Linked DNA regions of Arabidopsis thaliana. The protein of the gene in region 1 interacts with the protein of each later gene in a pairwise test. Each region holds a gene or a part of one and is shown on either strand. Other genes may lie near its edges.

Evidence for each region.
Region 2: the proteins of AT1G03040 (region 1) and AT4G29100 interact in binary tests that used the Arabidopsis thaliana proteins (3 or more experiments, as listed by UniProt).
Region 3: the proteins of AT1G03040 (region 1) and PYE interact in binary tests that used the Arabidopsis thaliana proteins (3 or more experiments, as listed by UniProt).

What each region holds. Positions count from the first base shown.
Region 1 is NC_003070.9:702,036-709,472, forward strand, and holds AT1G03040 (basic helix-loop-helix (bHLH) DNA-binding superfamily protein), read right to left. Parts: upstream 4,630-7,437; 5' UTR 4,423-4,629; coding exon 4,066-4,422; intron 3,622-4,065; coding exon 3,499-3,621; intron 3,333-3,498; coding exon 3,267-3,332; intron 3,095-3,266; coding exon 3,029-3,094; intron 2,634-3,028; coding exon 2,244-2,633; 3' UTR 1,814-2,243; downstream 1-1,813. Other genes in the region: AT1G03030 (P-loop containing nucleoside triphosphate hydrolases superfamily protein), read left to right, coding at 71-148, 241-433, 532-562, 644-702, 793-866, 977-1,063, 1,160-1,221, 1,318-1,346 and 1 more; AT1G03050 (ENTH/ANTH/VHS superfamily protein), read left to right, coding at 5,691-6,154, 6,269-6,474, 6,566-7,432.
Region 2 is NC_003075.7:14,338,292-14,346,891, forward strand, and holds AT4G29100 (basic helix-loop-helix (bHLH) DNA-binding superfamily protein), read left to right. Parts: upstream 1-2,673; 5' UTR 2,674-2,848; coding exon 2,849-3,177; intron 3,178-3,412; coding exon 3,413-3,791; intron 3,792-4,061; coding exon 4,062-4,142; intron 4,143-4,773; coding exon 4,774-4,839; intron 4,840-4,998; coding exon 4,999-5,064; intron 5,065-5,332; coding exon 5,333-5,392; intron 5,393-5,547; coding exon 5,548-5,592; coding exon of another isoform or gene 5,593-5,634; exon of another isoform or gene 5,635-6,086; coding exon 6,087-6,284; 3' UTR 6,285-6,722; downstream 6,723-8,600. Other genes in the region: AT4G29103 (uncharacterized protein), read right to left, coding at 7,997-8,209.
Region 3 is NC_003074.8:17,565,281-17,572,415, reverse strand, and holds PYE (basic helix-loop-helix (bHLH) DNA-binding superfamily protein), read right to left. Parts: upstream 5,291-7,135; 5' UTR 5,214-5,290; exon of another isoform or gene 5,212-5,213; intron 4,941-5,211; exon of another isoform or gene 4,723-4,940; intron 4,571-4,722; 5' UTR 4,539-4,570; intron 4,422-4,538; 5' UTR 4,382-4,421; coding exon 4,323-4,381; intron 4,233-4,322; coding exon 4,129-4,232; intron 4,021-4,128; coding exon 3,893-4,020; intron 3,747-3,892; coding exon 3,315-3,746; 3' UTR 3,031-3,314; downstream 1-3,030. Other genes in the region: AT3G47660 (Regulator of chromosome condensation (RCC1) family protein), read right to left, coding at 1-419, 558-649, 728-817, 901-987, 1,065-1,095, 1,199-1,224; AT3G47650 (DnaJ/Hsp40 cysteine-rich domain superfamily protein), read right to left, coding at 2,154-2,232, 2,332-2,428, 2,511-2,577, 2,673-2,840.

The DNA.
Region 1 (7,437 bases):
GGTTTTGTTCACTTCTCTTCTCATTGCTTCTACCAAAGTATTGATGCATTCTTTTTTTGCTTCTTGGAAGTTGTATGGATGAGATCTATGATAAGTTGGCGGAACGTCTTGTCCCTACAGCAGCGGCAATGTTTAGCCCCAATCTTAAGTAAGTTTGCTACTCTTTAAATGTTGTTCTGTTCTGTTAGCTGCACCCGAGTTTTTAGATAACTCCTATGAATTGTGTGTTGACTCGTGTAGACGTTTGGTCGGTTTGGCTGGTCCTCCTGGTGCCGGGAAAAGTACAGTAGCAAATGAAGTTGTGCGTCGTGTAAATAAGCTATGGCCTCAGAAAGCTGCTTCTTTTGATGCTGAGGTTAATCCACCGGATGTTGCTATAGTACTTCCCATGGATGGTTTCCATTTGTATCGTTCGCAACTCGATGCTATGGAGGTTGAGCTCATAATATTTTGCTGAGTTATATTTCTCTTATTATGTCTCTTTCTCTTTGTTGTTTAAGAGGAATTCTGTATTTTGTTTTGTCACTCTAGGATCCCAAAGAAGCCCATGCGAGAAGAGGGGGTGAGATCTGTTATAATTGTCTTATTCAAAGATTTTTTCGAAATGTTCAAACTTGGTTTGACCCTTCTATCCACTAATCAGCTCCGTGGACTTTTGATCCTGCACTACTGCTTAACTGTTTAAAGAAGCTGAAAAACGAGGTAAAGAGGTGGTTACAAAATCTTGTTGACCTTAGGATCTTGAAGTTGGGAGACTTACAATAGACTCTGATTAGTTTTCAAGCTTTCCAGGGCTCAGTTTATGTGCCATCATTTGATCATGGAGTTGGGGATCCAGTTGAAGATGATATCTTTGTTAGCCTCCAGTAAGTAGTCAGTAGCTTCCTAAATCTGTCAAATCCGAATCTAGTGTAATATGAAATGGTTTTGTTTGCCTATTCCGGAGACAGTCAGCTAACTTATGTCCTCTTCTTAGGCATAAAGTGGTAATTGTAGAAGGAAACTACATCTTGTTAGAAGAAGGGTCTTGGAAAGACATCTCAGATATGTTTGATGAGAAATGGTAAAGACTAATCAAAAGTGTTTTTTCCTTTTCTCACTCACTCGTGGTATTTGAGTTCGGTTTTACCAATTGATGTCTTTCCATCTTCAATTCAAGGTTCATCGATGTGAATCTCGATACAGCAATGCAACGTGTTGAAAACCGGCATATCTCAACTGGTGTGTACAATTTCTCTTATTTCGATTCTTGAGAACCCGCAATGACCTCAGAGAATCTCGCTTTTGTTTAATCCGTTTTCCCTTTGTGAATTACAGGTAAACCCCCAGATGTTGCTAAATGGCGGGTAAAAGCTCTGGCTCTACTCTACTTAATATTCAGTTACATGGTTTCAATGGTTTGTTCAAGGTAGCTAGCTGCTTCTTTTTTTCAAATTTGGATGGCAGGTGGATTATAATGACCGACCCAACGCAGAGCTGATAATAAAGTCAAAGACAAACGCTGATCTACTGATCAGATCTATGAACATTTGAATCTACTTTCAAGGGGGCTATTGGACGAAACAGAATAAGATGAATAACAAAAGACAATGTTGCGCTTCAAGGGAAGATTGCCTTTGGTCTACAATGTCTTTTTCTTGCAACGGAAACTTCCAATAAGCAATTTGTTCGCAGTAAACTGTGTATGCTAGTGTTCTCTGCATACTCACGGATTTTGTTCAGACAATGTGTTTTATACTTCTAAATTAGAAGTTCTAATGCATAAAGTGTTTGAATGCGCGGGAAATTACCTAATTATAATCAGTCCAGCTCCCAACTATATCATTTTGAATAGTTAAATGGTCTATCCAAATTAGTGCAAGAAAAAAAAGAGAGGCAAAACCATAATATAATACCAACATTTGTTTTTTCTTCCTTTTTTACATAATTCAGAAACACGATCCCACACCTTCATTACTATTACTACAGCTAGCACTACCCTCAAAGCCCTTGGTCCTGAAAATCACACTAAAGTCTTTGAACAAAAAAGAGTTACTTTCATCAAAATGATAAATACTAGCCAAGCAAGCGAGAGCTTTTTCCTTCTTTTGACAGATCCCGTTTTACTTCTTTACTGCACAAATCCTACTTAGATTCCATCTCCAATGCCTTTTTACTTACCTTTCATGAGTCACAAAAGTCTAGTAGTGGGAAACAGAGCAAAATGTCAATCATCAGCTGGGGACCGTTGGATGAACAAAAATCTACGGTGGAGGATTCATCTCTGGTTTGACGATTGAAGAAGATGTGTCTGGTGGCTGAGAATGGTAAATCGCCATTGCCAATGAGATCGGCATTATGCAAAGAGCCTTTGATTGCAAAAGTTGCATCGCTGCTCCAACGTTTTCTTCCATCAGCTTAGCCACTTGCCTCTCTGTCCCATCGTTTGACCATTTCTCCCACACGGCCTGCGTCTCATCCTGAAGAAAGTTTTTACACCACAAGTCAGTGCAAGAAAAACCATTACCAAAGTTCTGTTCTTTTTTTAATGAAGTATCTCTCTCTAGTCTAACCTCAACTGATGAAGATAATGGCATTTCAGTGACTAGTGGTGCGACAGCACCGGCTCCACCAAGACGGCTCATGCTCAGGACCTGCCATAGTTGACCAGAGATAAAGCTTATGAAGGAAAAATATTATCAAAGCCCATCATTGCATAAAATATTCTTCAATGTTCTCATTAGCTTTATTACAATAGTCCTCAATTGTGATGATTCTCCATGGGAGGGAAGCAAGCAAAAAGTGAAAGACACTAATGCCAAAAAACACACAATCATGTACTCTTTGATTACTCTTTATTGCCAGATTAAACAATTATAATCTTTTATTAAGATTGGAAGTTTGGTTTAAGAGAGTAGGTGGTGGTGGGGACCAAGGATTTACACCACTAAATCCTTCTGGCTGTTTTAAATAATCTTTCTACAAACTTTTAATGATAGCATTTTCAAAAACCAGAGAATAGAAAACTGAAAATGACTTGGGTGTTTACCTTAACTTGGAGCCTGAGAAACTTTACATAATCGACAATCTCGTCGATCATAGCAGCCCTATCTGTCTGCAAAAGGAAAGCAAAAGAAACAGATGTGAATACCGCAGTTTCTATATGCCAATCACAAAACTTTTCTCTCATTGACAACTCTAGTTTTCTCCCTACTTTTAAAATCTCTTTCAAGCTCTCTTCGCGACATGAAAACAGTAGCTGAAGCTCTAGAGAAAAAGATACCAACCTTGTTAACGGTAGGTACAAGTTCCTGCAACGACCTGATCCGTTCTGCTATTCTTTCCCTTCGGAGCTGTTGCAAAGCAAATACATTCAGGTTAGGTCTTACCGTTCTTAGTAAGTAAGAACTAATCGAACTTTCTCAACCAAAAGCTATAATTAAAGCTTTGATCAAACATTATCACATAAAAATCGAAAAAAGAGACCAGAAGATAAAAAAAGTGTATCAAACATCTTACCCTCTCAGCGATGCTATGTGGATCGGTAGCTTGACCTCGCCTAGCCCTAACTCTAGGCCGAATAGTAGACTGTTGATGCGGCATTGGTGGAGCTGGCTGTGACATTGGCTGCCCATGGAAAATCTTCAACAAAACACAAAACAATGCCGTAATAACATTAAGAAAAGCTTAAAAACCGCTTCTCACAAGAACGGTCGCCACTAGAGTAGTTATAGCAACAATTCAAACTATGACGGAATTATCCACATGAGAAAAGAAACTAAAGAGCAAATTTTCTTACAATATAATTTGGACATAAAAGAACACTCTTTTATACTAAAGTTTCTTGCAAAACTAATTTTAGTGTTATGACTTTAAAACACATCAAAATCTTCAACTTGGGTTTCTTCAAAAACATCAAATCTCACCAATCTGAGCCAAAAACTCTCGGTAACTATCAAATTTAGACCTAAGCTGGGTTTTCTCAAAAACGACACCATTTTGAAACCCTAAAGATTTGAATTTCACTTTATTTTCTCGAGAACACAAAAGAAAAAGACAAAGTGAAGATTCTGAAGAGAAACTTACAGGTTTCATAGAGGAACATCGATTATCAAGAACATCGTCTTGGAAACGTTTACCAGTTTCATCAGGTTTAAGAAAGCCATGTCCTTTCCCTTGATCGAGACTTAATCCCAACGGAAACATCTGATTATGAAACCCTACAGGTCCACCTCCTCCAATGGCACCCATATGATTATGATTCCCTTCGTTGCCTGAACCAAGCTGAAGCATCATCGGAGGTGGACCCACGCCGCCGATTCCAGAGAGACCAGAACCTGAAGAACCGGAGAAGTTGGAAAGCCCGAGGATCTGCTCGAAGAAATCGTCGGTAGGAGATGGATCGGAGATGCTATCATGTGGGATGTTGTTGTTATTAGCCATGAAGGAAACGAGTAAAGGTTTGAAATTTTCGACTCAGTGGAGCTGGGTGAGTTAAAAGATAGCGAGTTAGAGAAGAGAAGTCGAAGAACAACTTTCCATGCGAAGAATCTTGTGTGGAGTTGTTAGGTGAGAGAATGATGATGCTTAAGCTAATGAGGACGAAGAGACACAGACGAGAAAGGATATGACAAAAAGACTCACTTTATGCTCTCTTTCATTTTATTTTTGTTAAAAGGACCTTACTTTGTGGTTTATTTTCGGTTTTGCCCTTGTTCTTATATACCTTCCAGAAACTTGAAGTGGGCTTTATTTGTTTTGAAGTGGGCTTTTTGTTTTGACTTTCTTCAATTTATTCATATCAAATTAAGAAAAAGGTCTTTTACCAAACTCTTTTTAGTAGAATGTTAAAAACCAATATAACTTTCTTTTTTTAAAATATATAAATGATATGGGAAAAATTCTACGCATTGTCGGGGTCGTCGTCATCTCGTTAGTGGTAGAAAATAAGATTTTTTTAAAAAAATCTGTCTTTGTCGTTTTTTCCGAAATTTAGCACTCATGGAGTAAAGTTTCTAATATCCAATATAAAAATGACACGTTTCATTTTGCCATATGGTATTACAACTTGCTTCTCCTTAGTGCTGAACCGTTGTCCGACTCGTTTTCCATTTTGAGAGACAAGGGTTTTTCTATTTTTCACAAAACAAAATTGTGGCATTTCTGAATATAATACGAGTAAAAAATATGTCAGCAGAAATGGGCTTGGATCGATTTTGATTTGTTGGATTCCATAATTCAATCTTGGGCTTCCAATCCATAAGAAAAAAGCTTGGTGTATTTTTTTTTACAAATTAGAAGAAAGTTTTTTCCTCTTTAATCAGTACTCTTCTCCTTACCCATTAATGGCAAATGCAAACTAAATTTCAGTTGACCCGTCAAACAATAAGTTAATTTTTTGCCACGTGGCCATATTTCTCACCGGACAAAGCCTCCAATAACCTCGGCGACTTTAGATGGTGAATAATCGACGAACAACAAAGAAACTACATTGACGAAACAAACAAACAAAAACATAGAAGAAGAAGAAGAAGAAACAAAACAAAACTAAACAAGAAACAGAGGAGAAAAAAGGAAACGACGAGGAAAAACAAAAACAAAATAAAAACAAGCCTCGTTCTTCCCTTTTCTCTCTTCAAATCTTTTCTTTTACATATTTTCTTTTCTTTTTTTTGTCTTTAATACAAATTTACTAACTAATCAGAATAAAAATGGGTTCGAGTAAGTTTAAACGAGCCATAGGAGCCGTAAAGGACCAAACCAGCGTCGGTCTAGCCAAAGTCAATGGTCGAAGCGCTTCTTTATCTGAACTTGACGTAGCCATCGTCAAAGCCACTCGTCACGAAGAGTTTCCAGCAGAAGAGAAATACATTAGAGAGATTCTTAGCCTAACTTCTTACTCACGCAGTTACATCAACGCTTGCGTTAGCACGCTTTCGAGACGCCTTAATAAAACCAAATGCTGGACCGTTGCCCTCAAAACCTTGATTTTGATCCAAAGGCTCTTAGGAGAAGGAGATCAAGCCTACGAGCAAGAGATCTTCTTCGCCACTCGCCGTGGAACAAGGCTTCTCAATATGTCTGATTTTAGGGATGTTTCGAGGTCTAATTCTTGGGACTACTCTGCGTTTGTCAGGACTTACGCATTGTACCTTGACGAAAGGCTTGATTTCAGGTAAGAGTTCTTGTGCTTGATCCAGGTTCCGATTCGGGATTTCAAGTTATTTATGTAATTTGAATGATATCTAAGATATGCGGTTTTTTTTTTTTTTTCATTGCAATTTTTGAGGATGCAAGCGAGACACGGGAAACGTGGAGTTTACTGCGTTGGAGGAGAAGCTGACGAAGAAGAACAGGATCAAGCTGCGGCAGATCTCTCCACGGCTATCGTGGTCAGGTCACAACCGATCGCCGAGATGAAAACAGAGCAGATTTTCATCAGAATCCAACATTTGCAGCAACTTCTTGACCGTTTCTTGGCTTGTCGCCCAACAGGTAATAACTTGCGTCTCAAGATTTCTTTCTCTGTGTGTGTTTGTTTCTTGGATAAAAATTTATATAAGGACCAATGTTATTTTGTTAACAGGTAATGCGAGGAACAACAGAGTTGTGATTGTGGCTCTGTATCCGATAGTGAAGGAGAGTTTTCAGATATATTACGATGTAACAGAGATAATGGGGATTTTGATTGAACGATTCATGGAGTTAGATATTCCTGATTCGATCAAGGTCTATGACATTTTCTGCCGGGTCTCGAAACAATTCGAAGAGCTCGATCAGTTCTACTCTTGGTGTAAGAACATGGGGATCGCACGGTCTTCTGAGTATCCAGAGATAGAGAAGATCACACAGAAGAAGCTTGATCTCATGGATGAGTTTATAAGAGACAAATCTGCTTTAGAACACACCAAGCAATCAAAATCTGTTAAATCTGAAGCCGATGAAGATGATGATGAAGCGAGAACAGAGGAAGTAAATGAAGAGCAAGAAGATATGAACGCAATAAAGGCCTTACCTGAACCTCCACCAAAAGAAGAAGATGACGTAAAACCTGAGGAAGAAGCAAAGGAAGAAGTGATCATAGAGAAGAAACAAGAAGAAATGGGTGATTTACTTGATCTTGGGAATACAAACGGCGGTGAAGCAGGACAAGCTGGAGATAGCTTAGCGTTGGCTTTATTTGACGGGCCATACGCAAGCGGTTCTGGTTCAGAGTCTGGTCCAGGATGGGAAGCGTTTAAGGATGATTCTGCGGATTGGGAAACAGCTTTGGTGCAAACAGCTACAAACTTGTCAGGACAAAAGTCAGAACTCGGAGGAGGCTTTGATATGTTGTTGCTTAACGGAATGTATCAGCACGGCGCTGTAAACGCTGCCGTGAAAACATCGACGGCTTATGGAGCCAGCGGAAGCGCGAGCAGTATGGCATTTGGTTCTGCAGGAAGACCAGCAGGTTTT
Region 2 (8,600 bases), on another chromosome or scaffold:
TATAAGATATTTAGTTATATTATTTATTTGAATGAAGAAAGAAACAAACAAAAATGTAATATTTTGAGATGTCTAAGGAGTATTAAGATGTCCAGACTAACTTTAAATTTTTCTCCGAAGATTTATTTTGAGATTTTTTTTCGTTTTAATATTTTTGATCAGTTTATGACGATAATAAAAATAAACGAAACTTTTCTTAAATCTATAGTTGGGAAAGTGATTGATTTTCGTAAAAACCATTTTCCAACTAATATAACATATGATAGGAAAGTAGTCAGAAAAATCTTACAAAAATGTGCATGGAAATGGTGGAATTTACAGGTAGCATTACACATAATCATTTCATCATTAAATGCTAAGTTTATCCACCATATTGGCTTGGTTACAGAGTCTAAATAGAAATTGCAAGAGTTACATCCTAGTTTTGTCAAACTTTGGACTACACTATTACAGTTTCGCCTCTTGTAAAGAAAAATCGTTGAAGAGAATTTCGATGACCAGTTGTGAATGTCCTGGACTAAGTTAAAGATCTCACTTCTAGTTGTAGTCCCGGTAATAAATACGAAATATAGGATTGTATTGTATTGTATGTTTTCTGACTCGTATATTACAAGTATATGTAAGGATTTCTTGGAAATTGAAATCACTGGGAAACAGAATATTAGGGATCTCCAAACCCTAGGACATTGATTCCTTCGAGATTACTGGTCTTCTTCGTTGTAGGCAAAAAAAAATGGTATTTATTGTTAATTTGTATTTTTCTGATCATGCTTGGACAAAAAAAATGACTCGTTCAGGTTAGAATTTAAAATTAAGTGTATGCGTCATATGACACAATGCTCTCGTCATCTTGTGTCTAACAGAGTGAAATAAAGAACGAACAATTGTTTGTATACACACAAATACAATCGCACCTACATGTGCACATATTTTATTACGCTTATCTATAGAAAACTGTTTGATACATTTTTTCATTCTAAAGTAAATACACAATCCAAAAAATACTATGTCATGTTAAGAATGTTTAGTATATCTATTTATTTTAGGACAAGGAACATTTAACATATAGTAAACAGTTTTAACAAAATTTCTCTGATTTGAAATATATTTTTTATATTATCAGTAAAAAGAAAACTGTAAAGGTAATTATAGTCGTTGATTAAGATTATACTTAGTTTTTTAAAATAACATGTTTTAAAAATTTTGCAAAATAAGTTTTTTTTTTTACATGTCTCATAATTTTTGTCCTCAGTTTATGTTAAAAATATTTTGTTATTTTGATACTAACATCTTCCATACGCTGAAAACATCTTTGAGAATATTTTTCAAAACACAATATACAAAAATCCACAGTGACTTTATTCCACGATGAAATGATATCAAGACATATATGTTCTTACCTTTACCTTTCAACGAAAATGAGAGAAAAAATATATATATATAGTATCACTTTTAGAAAATGTTTTTTTTTGCTAATTAATTATTATATAAAAATGTTGAGAGCAACTTGATCATATATGTAATAAAGTCGCAGTGAAAAAAAAAATGTAATAAAGTCGCATACCGACGTTGTGACTCGTTTTTATGTAATTGATTAGTTAAGTACAGAGTTCGTTAGATGTATTTGCATTGTTACAATTACAGAAAACCCTACGCAACACAATTCAGTACTTTTTACGTCAGCAAAAATAGAATCTTTCGTTGAAAATAATACCAGAATCGTTCTTGTCTTTAATTTTCTTACCTTTTTGTAATTGGATATGATTTTTGACTATGGAATTATTATTATTTTATTCTATAAAATTATAGTTTTTATTATTGGAATCATTTATAAATGCTATTACTCAGTGTTCTTTAAAGTCCATACTAACGAATTCAAGTACTTATTTAACAAAACAAAACAAACAAATACTAATAAACTAAAAGTACAAACATTACTATGTTATTAAAAAAAGCATATAGCTGCGTGATTTTAAAGGTATATGTGACATATAATACAACGACGCCGTCGTATTTTATTGAATTTTTTTGTCACTTTTAATTAGTATACAGTGAGGAAATAAGCAAAAAGAAAGAAAAAAATATTGTTGGCTCGGCTAGTACCTATAAATAAAAACACTAGTATTTGGCCCAGGATATAATCATTGCAAGTTTAGAACTAGTTAGCTAATCTAAACCGTTAGATCAAAGAAGCAATCTTACTAATCAGAAAAACAAAATTCAACAAGTTACAAGAATGAAAAAAATAGGGATAAAAAAAAGGATAATTCATTTACATTCGATCAAAAGGCGAATGCATAGATCATAGATGCAAGACACTTGTGAGTTGTGATATAACCAAAAATTTATTTAATTATATGTAATATATATTCGAAAAATTTATACACCGTATATAAAATATTCGAATAATCCTTTTCTTTGATTTAAAAATATTTTCTGCTTGTTTTCTCAACTCATGTATTAATTTAAATAATAAAAGTAGCTACCACCTTTCTCTGCCCCACTTTAAGATAAAGCTAAAGCATGGAAAAAAGCATGGGAAAAAAGTAAATATATGATATACAATCAAATAAATCTAAAAAAATAGAAAAGAAAAATTAAAGGAACGAAAAAAAGAGGGAGGAAAAAGACAAAATTAAAAAACAAAAATAAAAATTCCAAAAAAATTAACATCACATGTTATCAAATGAGATCAAAATTTAAGTTAGTTTTGAGTTTTCTCTCTCTTTCTCTTCTCTAAAACTACTTAAGCTAAAGAATCAAACACTTCTCAACGTTTCTCCAAAGCCTCTGATTAGTAAACACATAAAGAGATCTATAGAGAGAGAGAGAGTAGAGATAAAAGGTGATGAATAGAGGTGTGTTGGAGAGTTCGCCGGTTCAGCAGCTGATGGCAGCCGGAAACCCTAATTGGTGGAACGTAAGCGGCGGCATGAGGCCACCACCACCGTTGATGGGTCATCAGCAGGCGCCGTTGCCACCACATATGACTCCTAATAACAATTATCTCCGACCACGGATGATGCCCACTCCCTTCCCGCACTTCTTGCCATCTCCGGCGACTTCTTCTTCTTCCTCTTCTTCTTCACCGTCTTTGCCTAATAACCCTAATCTCTCTTCTTGGCTTGAAAGCAATGATCTCCCTCCTGAGTCTTGGAGCCTTAGCCAACTTCTTTTGTAACTATCCCTCTATCTCTCTCCCTCTATAAATATTCCAAAATGAAATATTCTCTATACGCACATGACATGATCTTGTGTTTACTTACTAGTTCACTCTTTGTTTTCTCGTGTGTTGCTACTTAGTCCTAATTACCTTTTTGTTATACGTATATACGTATATACATGTATGTGTTTGTATTTTAAGTATCAAACAAACAATCTAATATTTTGGATATTTTCTTTGTGAACTTAGGGGTGGATTGATGATGGGAGAGGAAGAGAGATTGGAGATGATGAACCATCATAATCATCATGATGAACAACAACACCATGGTTTTCAAGGGAAGATAAGATTGGAGAATTGGGAAGAACAAGTGTTAAGCCACCAACAAGCTTCCATGGTGGCTGTTGACATCAAACAAGAGGGTAACATTAACAACAACAATGGCTATGTCATATCTTCCCCGAACTCACCTCCTAACAAATCTTGTGTTACAACAACTACCACAACAAGCCTCAATAGTAACGACGATAACATCAACAACAATAATAATATGTTGGATTTCTCTAGCAATCACAATGGTCTTCACTTGTCAGAAGGGAGACACACTCCTCCGGATCGATCCTCTGAGGTAACACTTTTTCCACATCTCAGAGATTTTGATAATATACGGAAAAAGCTCGGAAATAATATCTAGTTTTACACATAAATTAGTAAACACATCAACTACTATGAAAAAGTGAAATCTAAAACGTCATTTAAAAAGATCAGGACAACATATTTTATTTTAAGGTTTGGATCTAAATTCAACACGCAACCAGGATGAGTTTTGCTCTGAATTTTTTTTGATTAAATGACTAATTGATCTTTGTTTTGTTTGTTATCTATATATGTGATGCAGTGTAACAGCTTAGAGATTGGTGGGTCTACTAATAAGAAGCCAAGGCTCCAACCTTCTCCTTCGTCACAATCAACCCTCAAGGTAACTAATTGATTATATCAACGAAACTTTGGATAACTTATATAACGTTTTCTGTATATAAATTCCCTCCCTGACATCATACTAACAAAACAAAAACACAAACACAAAGGAGAACAGAAGAAGCAAACAAAACAGAATGGGCACAGAATAAGCTGTGTGGTTTTGTGTTTTGTAACTCTTTTGTTCTCTCCTGTTTTGTCTTCTTCTTCATTCTTCAATATTCCTTTCCTCTCTTTATTTCATAAAAATCAAACTTAAATTAATAAATTTCAACATTCTCCTTAGAATTAGACGACACTATATGTAATAAATTTTATTTTATAGAATATGGACATTTTGAGAGATTTCAAAGTTCTGTCAAAAAAAAAAAGAGATTTAAAAGTTTTGTTTTTTTCTGTAACTTGTTTTGAAACGTAGAAATGGAAGAGTCGCATTAGACATTGGATTCAATAATATCATGATAATTATATATACTAGTGAAAGTAAAATAATTGTTTATCACTTGTACATGCTAAGTAAGCACGTTTTCTCTATGCATGGTAATTAGTAAAAATAATATGACCACACATGCACATATATATAGAAAGCTTTTTAATTGATGCTATTAATTAATCTATGGTGGTAATTAAAGGTGAGAAAGGAGAAACTAGGAGGCCGAATCGCAGCGCTTCATCAGCTAGTATCTCCATTTGGAAAGGTAAAGATCGATTCCATTAACAAATCAAATTTATTAATGTCGTCTAATATTCCTCTATCAAATCAACTTTTAACATTAATTGTGGAGATTTTTTTAGTTTCATTCTTGTTAATCTAAAATCTAAATCATTCTTCATCCCTTTTTACCCATCTTTTGCAGACTGACACAGCCTCTGTCCTGTCGGAAGCTATTGGATACATTAGATTCCTTCAGAGTCAAATTGAGGTGTGACTCGTCTTTTCCAAACTCCAAATATTCTCATTCAGTAAAATAAAAATAATGCTTATGATTACTCCGTTTACCAAAAAAAAAAAGAAGAAAAAAAGGTTGTGATTACTGAGAAATAAATTACAGAATAAAGCATAATGATATTATATAAGAAAGAATAAAGATAGTAGTATAAAGTTTTGTTCTCTCCATGTTAAGTAATATTTGATTGATGTGATTATATATAAAGTATTTATGACTTTTTGCAACTGTTGCACTGTTGCAGGCTCTGAGTCATCCATACTTTGGTACGACTGCCTCGGGGAATATGAGGCACCAACAACATGTAAGTAGCAAATTTTCGTATATATACTGATATACACAAACAAATCATCATGCTATCGTTTTATACCCTTAACTTCTTCTTTTTCGATAACCTACACGAAACTTTTTATACTTATATATTATCTCTTAAGTCTTAACTATGGTTTATATGAATAGTTGCAAGGAGATAGGAGTTGCATATTTCCTGAGGACCCTGGTCAGGTACGTCCATTTTTTCTTGGTCACTATACTTTTAATATATAATTAGAGTCACTATACTTTTTATTGGATCAATTGAATCCAAATCTAAAAAATGTGGACAGCTTTAGTTTCCAAAATTTATCCTTTTTTTTCTTTTGTTTTTTTTCTTTTCTACTGTTTTCTTTAAAGTAAAGTTGGATTAATATTAAAAGATGCAGCGGCCAGCTTTTTTTTCACCCTCCCTTACATTATTATAAACCAAAAAAGTTCGTTAAAACCAACAAAGCCACTAAATTTATTTAAATATCAACTTTTTCTCCTTACTTGTTTTCTTCATCTAAGTGAAATTCAAATTCCTTTGGCGGGGTTTTATATATGCTTTTCACTAGGGGAAATTCAATGATTTTTTTTCTTATCACCTCTTTATATAGGTGTTAGAGAACATGTGTTTACTTTTTTTGTTAATCAATGCTATATATCATGATTGTTTTTTTTTTTTTTTGATATGGTTTTAGCTCGTGAACGATCAGTGCATGAAGAGAAGAGGAGCTTCGTCGTCATCTACGGACAATCAAAATGCAAGTGAAGAGCCTAAGAAAGATCTGAGAAGTCGAGGTTTATGTCTTGTCCCAATCTCATGCACACTCCAAGTAGGCAGCGACAACGGCGCGGACTATTGGGCTCCAGCACTTGGCTCCGCCGGTTTCCATTGAGCCAATGAAATTACGCCACGTGGAATTCCAGCGTTAGAGAAAAATGATATAACATCACGAGCAGTCAGTCTACTGAGAAAACAACAAATTGAGTTTCCAAGGCTGATTGCTCATGATGCTATACAAAGTTCTTCGTTTAAAACTTTGCTAGAGAATTTGCGTCTGGCGTCTGATGAATATGCGTTTGGCGTTTCATCATTTGATGCGTTATCAGATGATATGACCAAGTGATCAATTTATGTTCTTGCTTTAGGAAACTGTTTGTTTTCTTTTACCGGTTAATTGTAATTTGTGGTTAAGTACTTATTTTAATTACTTCCACGTGGTTTGTATCGTTATAATTTTGCTATTACTTATAATATGTCTATTGTGTGGGATATATACGACATGCAGACCATTAAAATAAAAAAGTGTGCCGGAAAATATCGATATAAGTTACTTCGTTTGCCTTTTTCATGCGTAGTTCTTAATTCACGTAAATGATCATCCACAATGAAAAAAGAAAAAGAACGAAAAAGTTCAGAAATTATGAATCTTATTAATTATTATTGATAATTATTTTACTTCACTCCACCATATGTGTGAACTAGTGGAGCCTTGGAGGATCACTAACAAAGAAGAAAATAAGAAACAAGATATATCATCACTTTTTGAGAACTTGCTCTTCATTTAAACGGTTCATTTCTTCTCTTTGAAGTTACGATCATCAAAGAACTTCTTAGGGTTGCTCTCAAAAGCCTCCCTCTAAACGCTTTGTCGTCCACCAGATCCAGGAGCAACCATTGTTTTACCGATGTCGGAAGTGCTACCAGAACCACCGCTTCCGCCACTCGTACCAAAATTCTTGGCTCCATCAGCTTTGGTGTTCTTGGCGTCCATGGCTTGATTTTGGGATTGGAAACGATTATAAATTGAAGGTTTGGTTATTTTGTGAATCATGAATTCGACTGTTGAGACTTAGAAAATGGATCGTATATAGACACCAAGTTGATCTGATAGAATGATAGTAATTTGTGAGTTGTAACAACACGAAATAATGGTCAAATTGGCATGGAATGTAATTACTAATTACTGATGTTATTTCCATGTCAATTTGTAACAATTTTCTCGTAAACTAAAAACGCTCAATACAACAGACACGGCCCATCTCTTAAGCCCAACCAAATAATCTTTGTCCAGTTATCGCTTGGCTCCCTTATTCGATGCGTTTGCCTTACGAGTTTTGACATAACACGCACTTTTTTAATACGCATGTGGTTCGAGTAACGCCGGTTCAGTTTTGTCAATTAAAATCTATAAGACTATAAATACATCGTTTTGGTAGAGTACTATTCGGATCAATAATTATGCATTGTTTTCTTATGTGTAAAAGAATGCATGCTCCATACCAATAAACAAACATATGATTAATATACTTTATCTTTTGCAGTGGATGATGTGGATCATATTATTGAGGAACATAATATAGTGGATTAAGGAATTTATCCATAACACCCGATCCAACAACAAATTATTATATTGATCAAATAAATCATATTATTATGTCGAAAATGACAAAATAAAATAAAAATCCATTACTTCACAGAAAACTACAGAATCTTTCCACCCATAAAAAGCAGACCATCAAAAGAGGAAAAAAAGTAGAAAATCCAACGTTTATTCATACTATAATGTTGAATGATGGAAAAACAAATACAGTGCAATATTTTCAGTTATATATATATACACGCAAATAGCTTATGGAATTCCCATATTAATTCCTTAGTAGACGGAGACGTACAGGTGGCTATAATTGGCTTAGATGCCTTCACGTCTAAGCTCTTAAGGTTTATGGCCCATTTCAAAAGCTCCTTTAAGAAAATCCCAAAAAAAACGAAACATAAATTAAAACTAATTAATAACAACATATAAACTTTAAAGTACATTTAAAACAATGAAATTAAGAAAAATAAAGTACTAGTTCTCATTTTATAAAAGAAGGCTAATAAGAAGATTAAATTATAATATCTTTAGCCTCATTGATGGGATTAGATATAGATGATATATTGATATACATATTGTTGGAAAATGGTTTTGTGAAGGAAATGGAATTGGTGTGTCGTTTTCGCCAATAATTAGTTTATAGTTGAAAACTCCATGCATGTCGCTTCCACGTATTCTTCCTCTACCCCGACGTACACGTGTTGTCGTTTTCGATTCAATTTTGTGGCTACCGGCTATTAGGGTAGTACTACAACTACATAAAGAAAAATTCATGGGTCTAAACAAATTTTCATTACAAGATATAGCATGTCATCAGACTGTATGGGTTATATT
Region 3 (7,135 bases), on another chromosome or scaffold:
GCGAAGTATGAGGTTTATGAACCAGTTCGTCCAAAGAGAGTGCCTTTAGTACTGCAGTTTGTGACAGAACCTCTGAGAAAACTTTCCCCAGTCTCTGTGGAGTGTTGCAGTGAGATCCTGAGGCCTTTTTTGCATGTTCCTGCAAAAGTGCCAGGTGAGACAGGAAGATAATAAGTAGGAAACAACCCGATGGTGCTATCATGAAGAAAGAAAACAACCAACAAAACCTCATAGCTTGTGTCACTGCTGACAGATCTGATGTTGGACTTCGAGTTCTGGCTCGAACTACTTTGTTCTCCATTTTCAGGAGCAAGACTACGGCTTCTTGAGTGAAGTACCAATGCAGAAGAGTTGTTTCGTGAGAGAAGAGCGCGAAGGGTAGTGAGCCAGAACTCAGCTTCATCCTTGTCCTTGCATACCTATCAACGAGTAAGAACTTGTTAGAGATTGATGTAGCAATGGAGATTGCATGTGGTCTTCAGAAGACAGCTAATGCCTGTGGAATAATACATGTCAGGGAACAACAAGAAAAAGACTACAGGGAGGAAACTACTAACCAAATCGAGAGACCGTTCGCCATATATAAGAGAAAAGGATTGATATTCCTTGGTGGGTTGAGGATATCGTCGGAAAACCGCCTGGAAAAGTTCTTACAATAACATTCTTCTGTTCAGAAATCTGCAGCAAAACAGTTACCAGATAAAATGATTCATACATTTTAACTTACAGTTCGCTGTCCAGGTATGATCCTTGTCACAGAACTCAGTTTAAGACGTTTCTCCTTTTTACCACAATACCATAACAAATATATTTCATCCTGCAAAAGTTTTGAGAAAACCACTATCAAATCACAATCTTCAGCTTTGAAATAAACTGTGACTGAAGGTTATGAATTAGTACACTTGAAAGCCGAAAAGGGTAGAATTTAGGCTTCCCACGGCGGCCGTATTTCAAAAGATAAGCCCCTTTCTTCAGAATTGCTATCGCCTGAACCAAGTTTTATGCCAAAAGAATCAAACTTTAGGAATTGAAGATGATCTTTACTAAGAGAGTTTGGAACAAACCTGCTCATTCTCCCTATCTGTGGGAACACTTCTCTGGAAACAAGCCATTCCAAGTTTTGAGCACCAGATAATCCCAATGCTCGCCCCATATAATAAAACCCCTTTTGCCTTTGATATCCAAAGAGGTTCTTTACCTAAGCTTTCGAATCGAAAACCTCATCAAGACGTCTAATAACTACTTCTGCTTTCTCCTATGGAATCGCATTTGCATTCATCATTTTTCCCTTGAAATATAGAAATAACCAAATCATCTACAATGCGGATTACACAAAACAGGATTGATGATCAAAAATCATAGAGAAACGCACCTAGTTCCTTGTTCCGCACGCCACAATGCGAAAATATATTTTTGTGGAACAAATCGAATCCTATTGAAATTACGGAACAAACATATGTTGAGCTTGGAGCAATTTAGACGAACTAATATCCCTCGTTAGGTTTCTGACTTGACTCTCCCGAGAATCAGACAGATCTTTGTGTTGGATTTGAAACGTGGAGCGAGAGAATAAAGAAAAACATAACAACAAGATTCTGACCCAGCGACGACGACAACAACAACAACAGATAAGAGAAAAAAGGTCTGTGTCTTCTCCTTTTGTTGGTCTCAGATGCGTTTATCTGTTATTTACAGTTGTTTCCATTTCTTCTCCTTTTTTCAGGTGCAATGTTTTTTCAGTTTTATCCATCTTATTTTATCAAATATATCAAAATAAAATAAAAATTCTAATATCATATAGATAGATACTAGGATGATATAAAACATTCTCTTTCAATGTAAATGAATAGAACAAAACTTTGATTAATTCTTCTCTAAACCATTCAACATTTCAAGCCATCAACAAGACTACCATAGAGGTGCTATAGACTTTTAGCAATTTGTAGAAGACAAAAAACGAGAGAGAGAGAGAGAAGAATCTGAAAAACAAAAATACAACAAAAGTTTGGTGTGCAATAACAAATAGTAATACATGTTTTTGGTAAAGAAGAGCATTGATAGAGAGAAAGATTTACTTCTTCTAAGGTTTATAAAAGAGTGTTTTTTGAGTCCATGTAATCAAATCCAGTCTTCTTGGAAGAAGCTTATTTCTACTACTCATCGAAGGTGCTCAAGAACCCACCAATGAAACCAGCTCCATTGCAGTCCCCACACAACACCTCCTTTTTACCTCTGCCCACAAGAAATGTAAAAATATATATTAAGTAATGAGTTTATGTATGTGTTGTGGAGAAGGAAGAATTAGAAGAAAGAATATAAGATGTAGCAAACCTGCAAAGCCAACAGAGTGCACCAGCTTTAAACTGACCATTGAAATGATCAATCAAATTCACACCACCTCCTTTGCATTGAGAACATGCCACACAACCTTTGAAAAAACATCTTTATCAAATTACTAACCAATTCAGGAGTAGAAAACTAAGAGAATTATAAAACAGGTAAGAACTTACCTTCCCCTTCACAATTTGCACAAACTAAACTGTTTGGTTTAGTGCCCTGAGGATTATTGTTTGCGGCCTATTGATACCACAGAATGAGATTTTGCATTAACGAAATGGTCAATGAAGTAAGCAAATTTTATAGAGAAGAGAAGAGTTTGGGAAAATTCTAACCTTAACTTCAAAACTTTGGGATCTTGAAGTCTGAAGCAGTTCTCTCTTCTGTACCAAGGAAGAGGTGTTATCATTAGTTGAGAAGAAGTGAGAAGGTTTAGGGTTTTTGCTTGGAGATTGGAAGCAAAAGGTAGGAGGAGAAGAGAAGAAGCATAGTGAATTCGCCATTTTCTGTTTTCTGATTCTTCTTACCCACTCGATAGCAAAGATAAGATGGCTCCTCTCACTTCTCTTTTTCTCAAGTGCCTATTTTACCAAAATACCATCATATTCTTTATCCAATCCAAACCAAAACCTATTAACCGGTTTTGTCTTTTAAACCCAATTTCACATTTTAGTTTCCATTAGAAAGCTTTTTTCTTAAAAAGAAATTTGATTTTTTTTGTTCTGTTTCTGTGTTTTTAGAATCTTAAGACAAAAGAAAATGACAATGGTTAGAGCTAATTTACTTATTTATCTCAAACGACCCATCAAGGCCATAACTTCCTGATCCTATGAACAACCATCAAAAACAAGAAATAGCCAAGGCCAAACCCACAAGGACATCAGAACGATGTATTAAAAAATACAAAACCAGAGTCCTTCATAAGTTGCCATGTCTTATAACTTGCGTTGCTACTCCATGTGGAGCCGTTCAAGACCTCATTCACTGGCTTTCAGCCGCTCTCCAAGTAGCCGAGAAGACCACGAGTCAGCCGCGCTAGCATACCTTGGACATGGCTTACTCACATTTGAGCTATTAAACATCAAAGGCTGCTGCGCTTGAGTCATTTCTGAGATATCTTGTGTCTGGGGATCAGGTTGTATTGGAAGGACAAGAACTGTTGCAGGAGGATGAAGAGTTGTAGCAGATTGTTGAAAGCCGGGGCCTTGGAAAATGGGAAGTCCTGGGAACTGAGATACACGTTCAGGATGTTGTTGTTGATAATGATGATGATGGTACTCGGGTGCAGGAGAGGTGTTCAAGTCAGGTTTCGACTGATTCGCTCTAGCTTCAATCTCGTTTTGTAGTTTCGAAATCTCAGTCTCAAGCACTGATGTTTCTTCCTTGAGCTCATTCTTCTCTGTGGTTACCTACACACAACACCAGTTTCCATCAACAAGACCATTTAGAAAAATACAAAGATGAAGTAACTTCTTGAAGCAACATTCGTCTTAGTTGTTGATTCACGTCACAGAATACATAAACACAATCAATGTGCATATAGAAATTGACTTACATAGCTAGATTCAGATAGGAGAGAAGCATGCTCCTTTCTAAGAGACTCAATTTGACCAAACACGTCCTTCAAGAATCGAGTAGCTTCGCATAGTATAGAAGCTTTCCCACTGTTCTGTTGATTCAGTTCTGCAACAAAGAAACATGTTCACAGTTAGATATCACAATCACATTCAAAATATCACAACACACTCGAGCAATTGTTCATTCAAATCTACGGAAAGATGAGAAATTTACCAAGAGTATCGGCTAATTCAATGAAAAGCTCATTCAAATGCTCACGCTTAAGCCTCTCACGAACGGCCTTGTTGATCCTTTTCGGTACTTTACCTTTTCTACATCTGTTTTATACACCAAACATAATCAATCCCCATAAATAAAAATAAAAGGTTCCATAATCTATTTCCAAGAATTGTCTCCTTAAGAATCACCTTTCATCTGCAGTAGCATTTGCTTCATCAGACGATGTAGAAGGAGTTTTCGATACCATCTTTGCTTTTATTACAGAACAAGATTCTCTGTCAAGTCACCTAAAATTTAGACATAAGATGATTAATCAAAAAGAACAGTGATCTTAATGAATCTAACAAATCATTCATCTTTATAATCAATCAATCACTCCTAATGTCAAATAAACACAAACGCACCAAGAAACATAGGAGCAGAAAAAAAAAAAAAACTTTCGTGTGATTTTTGATTCCTCAAAAACTGAAGCAAGTGTTTTAGATTCTGTCTTTATTACCCATATTCTTGTCAAATCAAATAGTGAAGAATAATTCTCAAAAATTACGGCTAAGTTCTCAACACAACAGATTCAGAGAAAAGAACTACCTTTCTTTCTCCGGTGAGAATCTCGTCGGAAACTGTAGACGATTAGGATTCGAAACGAGTAGAAGAAATAATAAGAGAATCTGAGAAAATGAAGAGTGAAATTGTTTTTTTTGGAGGAAGAAGGTCCGAAGTTGAGGAGGGCGTGTGGAGGCGCGTGGAGAGCACAGAAGAAGGTGGTGCGTTTAAGTGGACACGTGAGTTCGACATGTGCCTTTCTCTTTTTTACTTTTGTCTTCTTCTCTTACGTTGCGTGCCACTAAAGCTCATCTCTCATGGACACGTCATCGTATCTTTAATTAATAAAATAATAATATTAATCGAGTGGAAGAGTGGTTTAAATCGGGTAAAGTTCTATTAATGGAAATGTTTGTTGAGTGTAAATAACATTGTATTTTCTACAGATTAATCGGGTAAAAAGTTGTACTATCTGTTTAAGAATTTTATCGAGTAGATGAAAAGTAACATTTTCACAAAAATATACCGTAGAACACCAAAAAAAAAAAACAGGGGCATGTGGGGTCAACGTGAAGGATAATAAAGGCATGGAAACGCGCCGTCGAGAGCTGATGACGTGTCTGTCGTGTGTTTCCCACAAACTCTATTTATTGACGGTATGATGATTAGTATACACATTTTTAATGGCATAGTCAAATTCAGTGGGTGAGGAAAAATTGAAGATAGGAAATTAAAAAGAAATAACGAAATTATATTAATCTGCCTATTCCTCTTCTCCTTCATTTTGAATTCAAAAACCGAAATACTATATATAGTTTTGCGGTTCGAATGATGACTGTATTTTGTGATACGGAAAAAGTATGGGACGGTTCAAATAATAACAAAAATACATAGATATATATGTATATATAGAGATTTTTTATACTGTTACAGTTACGGTACGGTTTTGGGGGCGGTCTATGTCACCATTCATACACTGTGATTAAGAAACATACAAAAGGCGTTTTCTTGTTTTTTTATTAAAACTACAATACAGTTACCAATCAATACTTTTAACAAATTTGCGTTTTTCGAAAAAAAAAAGAAAAAAGTTTGCAATTTTGTCCTAAAAACAATACACTGGAATGCTTTTCAAAAGAAGAAAAATCATTTACCTAGTGTTTTTGCTCAAAACCGCATTCCAACAAAAAAATCGTTCATTACTCCATTACTTAAGCAAATTGTTATGTCCTACGTCCCAACCAAAAGTTTCTCAGCCTTTGCCTCTTCCATACACACATCCCTCGTTTATTACTCCATTACTTAAGCAAATTTTAATTTTTTTTCCATTAGCTTCCCCATTTAAATATATGTACAAAAAAAGAGAGTATATGTGTGCATCAGAATCACTAGTTACCTAGTGCATAAAAGAAAAAAATATACGTAGGACATAACAATTTGCTTAACTAATGGACTTTAATATATATATATATATATATATATATATATATATATATATGCAATAATTATAGTTTTATTCTTTTTATTTAATTAAAATCTAAGAAAATGTAATTACAAGAAATAGAAATATCATAATACTTATAGAAATTTTGACAATTATTATCCACTATAAGCTTATATAAGTTCTATAATCAATTTACTAGTAAAAAATTATGATTTTTTTTTCAATTTTTTATGATGAAACTATTCAACGAATTTAATAATATGTATGTTAAACTTTAAAAATGTATATTTTGATTTATTTATGTATTAATAATTTATAAATATATGTTATTGCTTATTTATTAACACAAAAATAATAATTAATTATTAATATATATATATATATATAATTTATAATCCGCACCGCAAATAATTTTTTCATCAATCAAACATTATTCTGTACCGCTTATTTTGTACAAACCATATTTGTCCCGCAAATATATTTTTCTCGCACGTACCGTAATTGAACTGTACTGCAATGTTATACCACTTTTCTCACATATTAAAAACCGAGGTTACCATTCGGACCATAATATATTTTTTCATCAATTGTTTGCATTATAAAAAGAAAAAAAAAAAGAAGAACAAATCGGAGGGTTCAGATTTCAGAAACAAAATACCGAACCGCTAGGTCGTTGGTTTTGCCGGTTCGTTTGCACCGGGATTTTAGAGCTAGACAGGGACCAAATAATTAAGCGGATCGTGGGTATTACCGGTCCGGGTCCGGAAAAACATCTGTTAGAAACTAATCTCGTTTGGCCCAAACCCAAAAAAGCTAGCTTCACGGCGTTTGTTGTTCTTCCTCGCTCTTCGCCGCCTTCACTCGCAGTCGCAGGTAAGCTTCTTCAATTCCCCTCTTAAATCAACTAACGCTTCCTAATTCCTCCTCTGGCTTCGTTCCTCTCCTTTTTTCCAAGGTTTGTGTCAATCTGAAATCAAAATGATCAAATGATCATGAACTTAATTGTAGAAACTT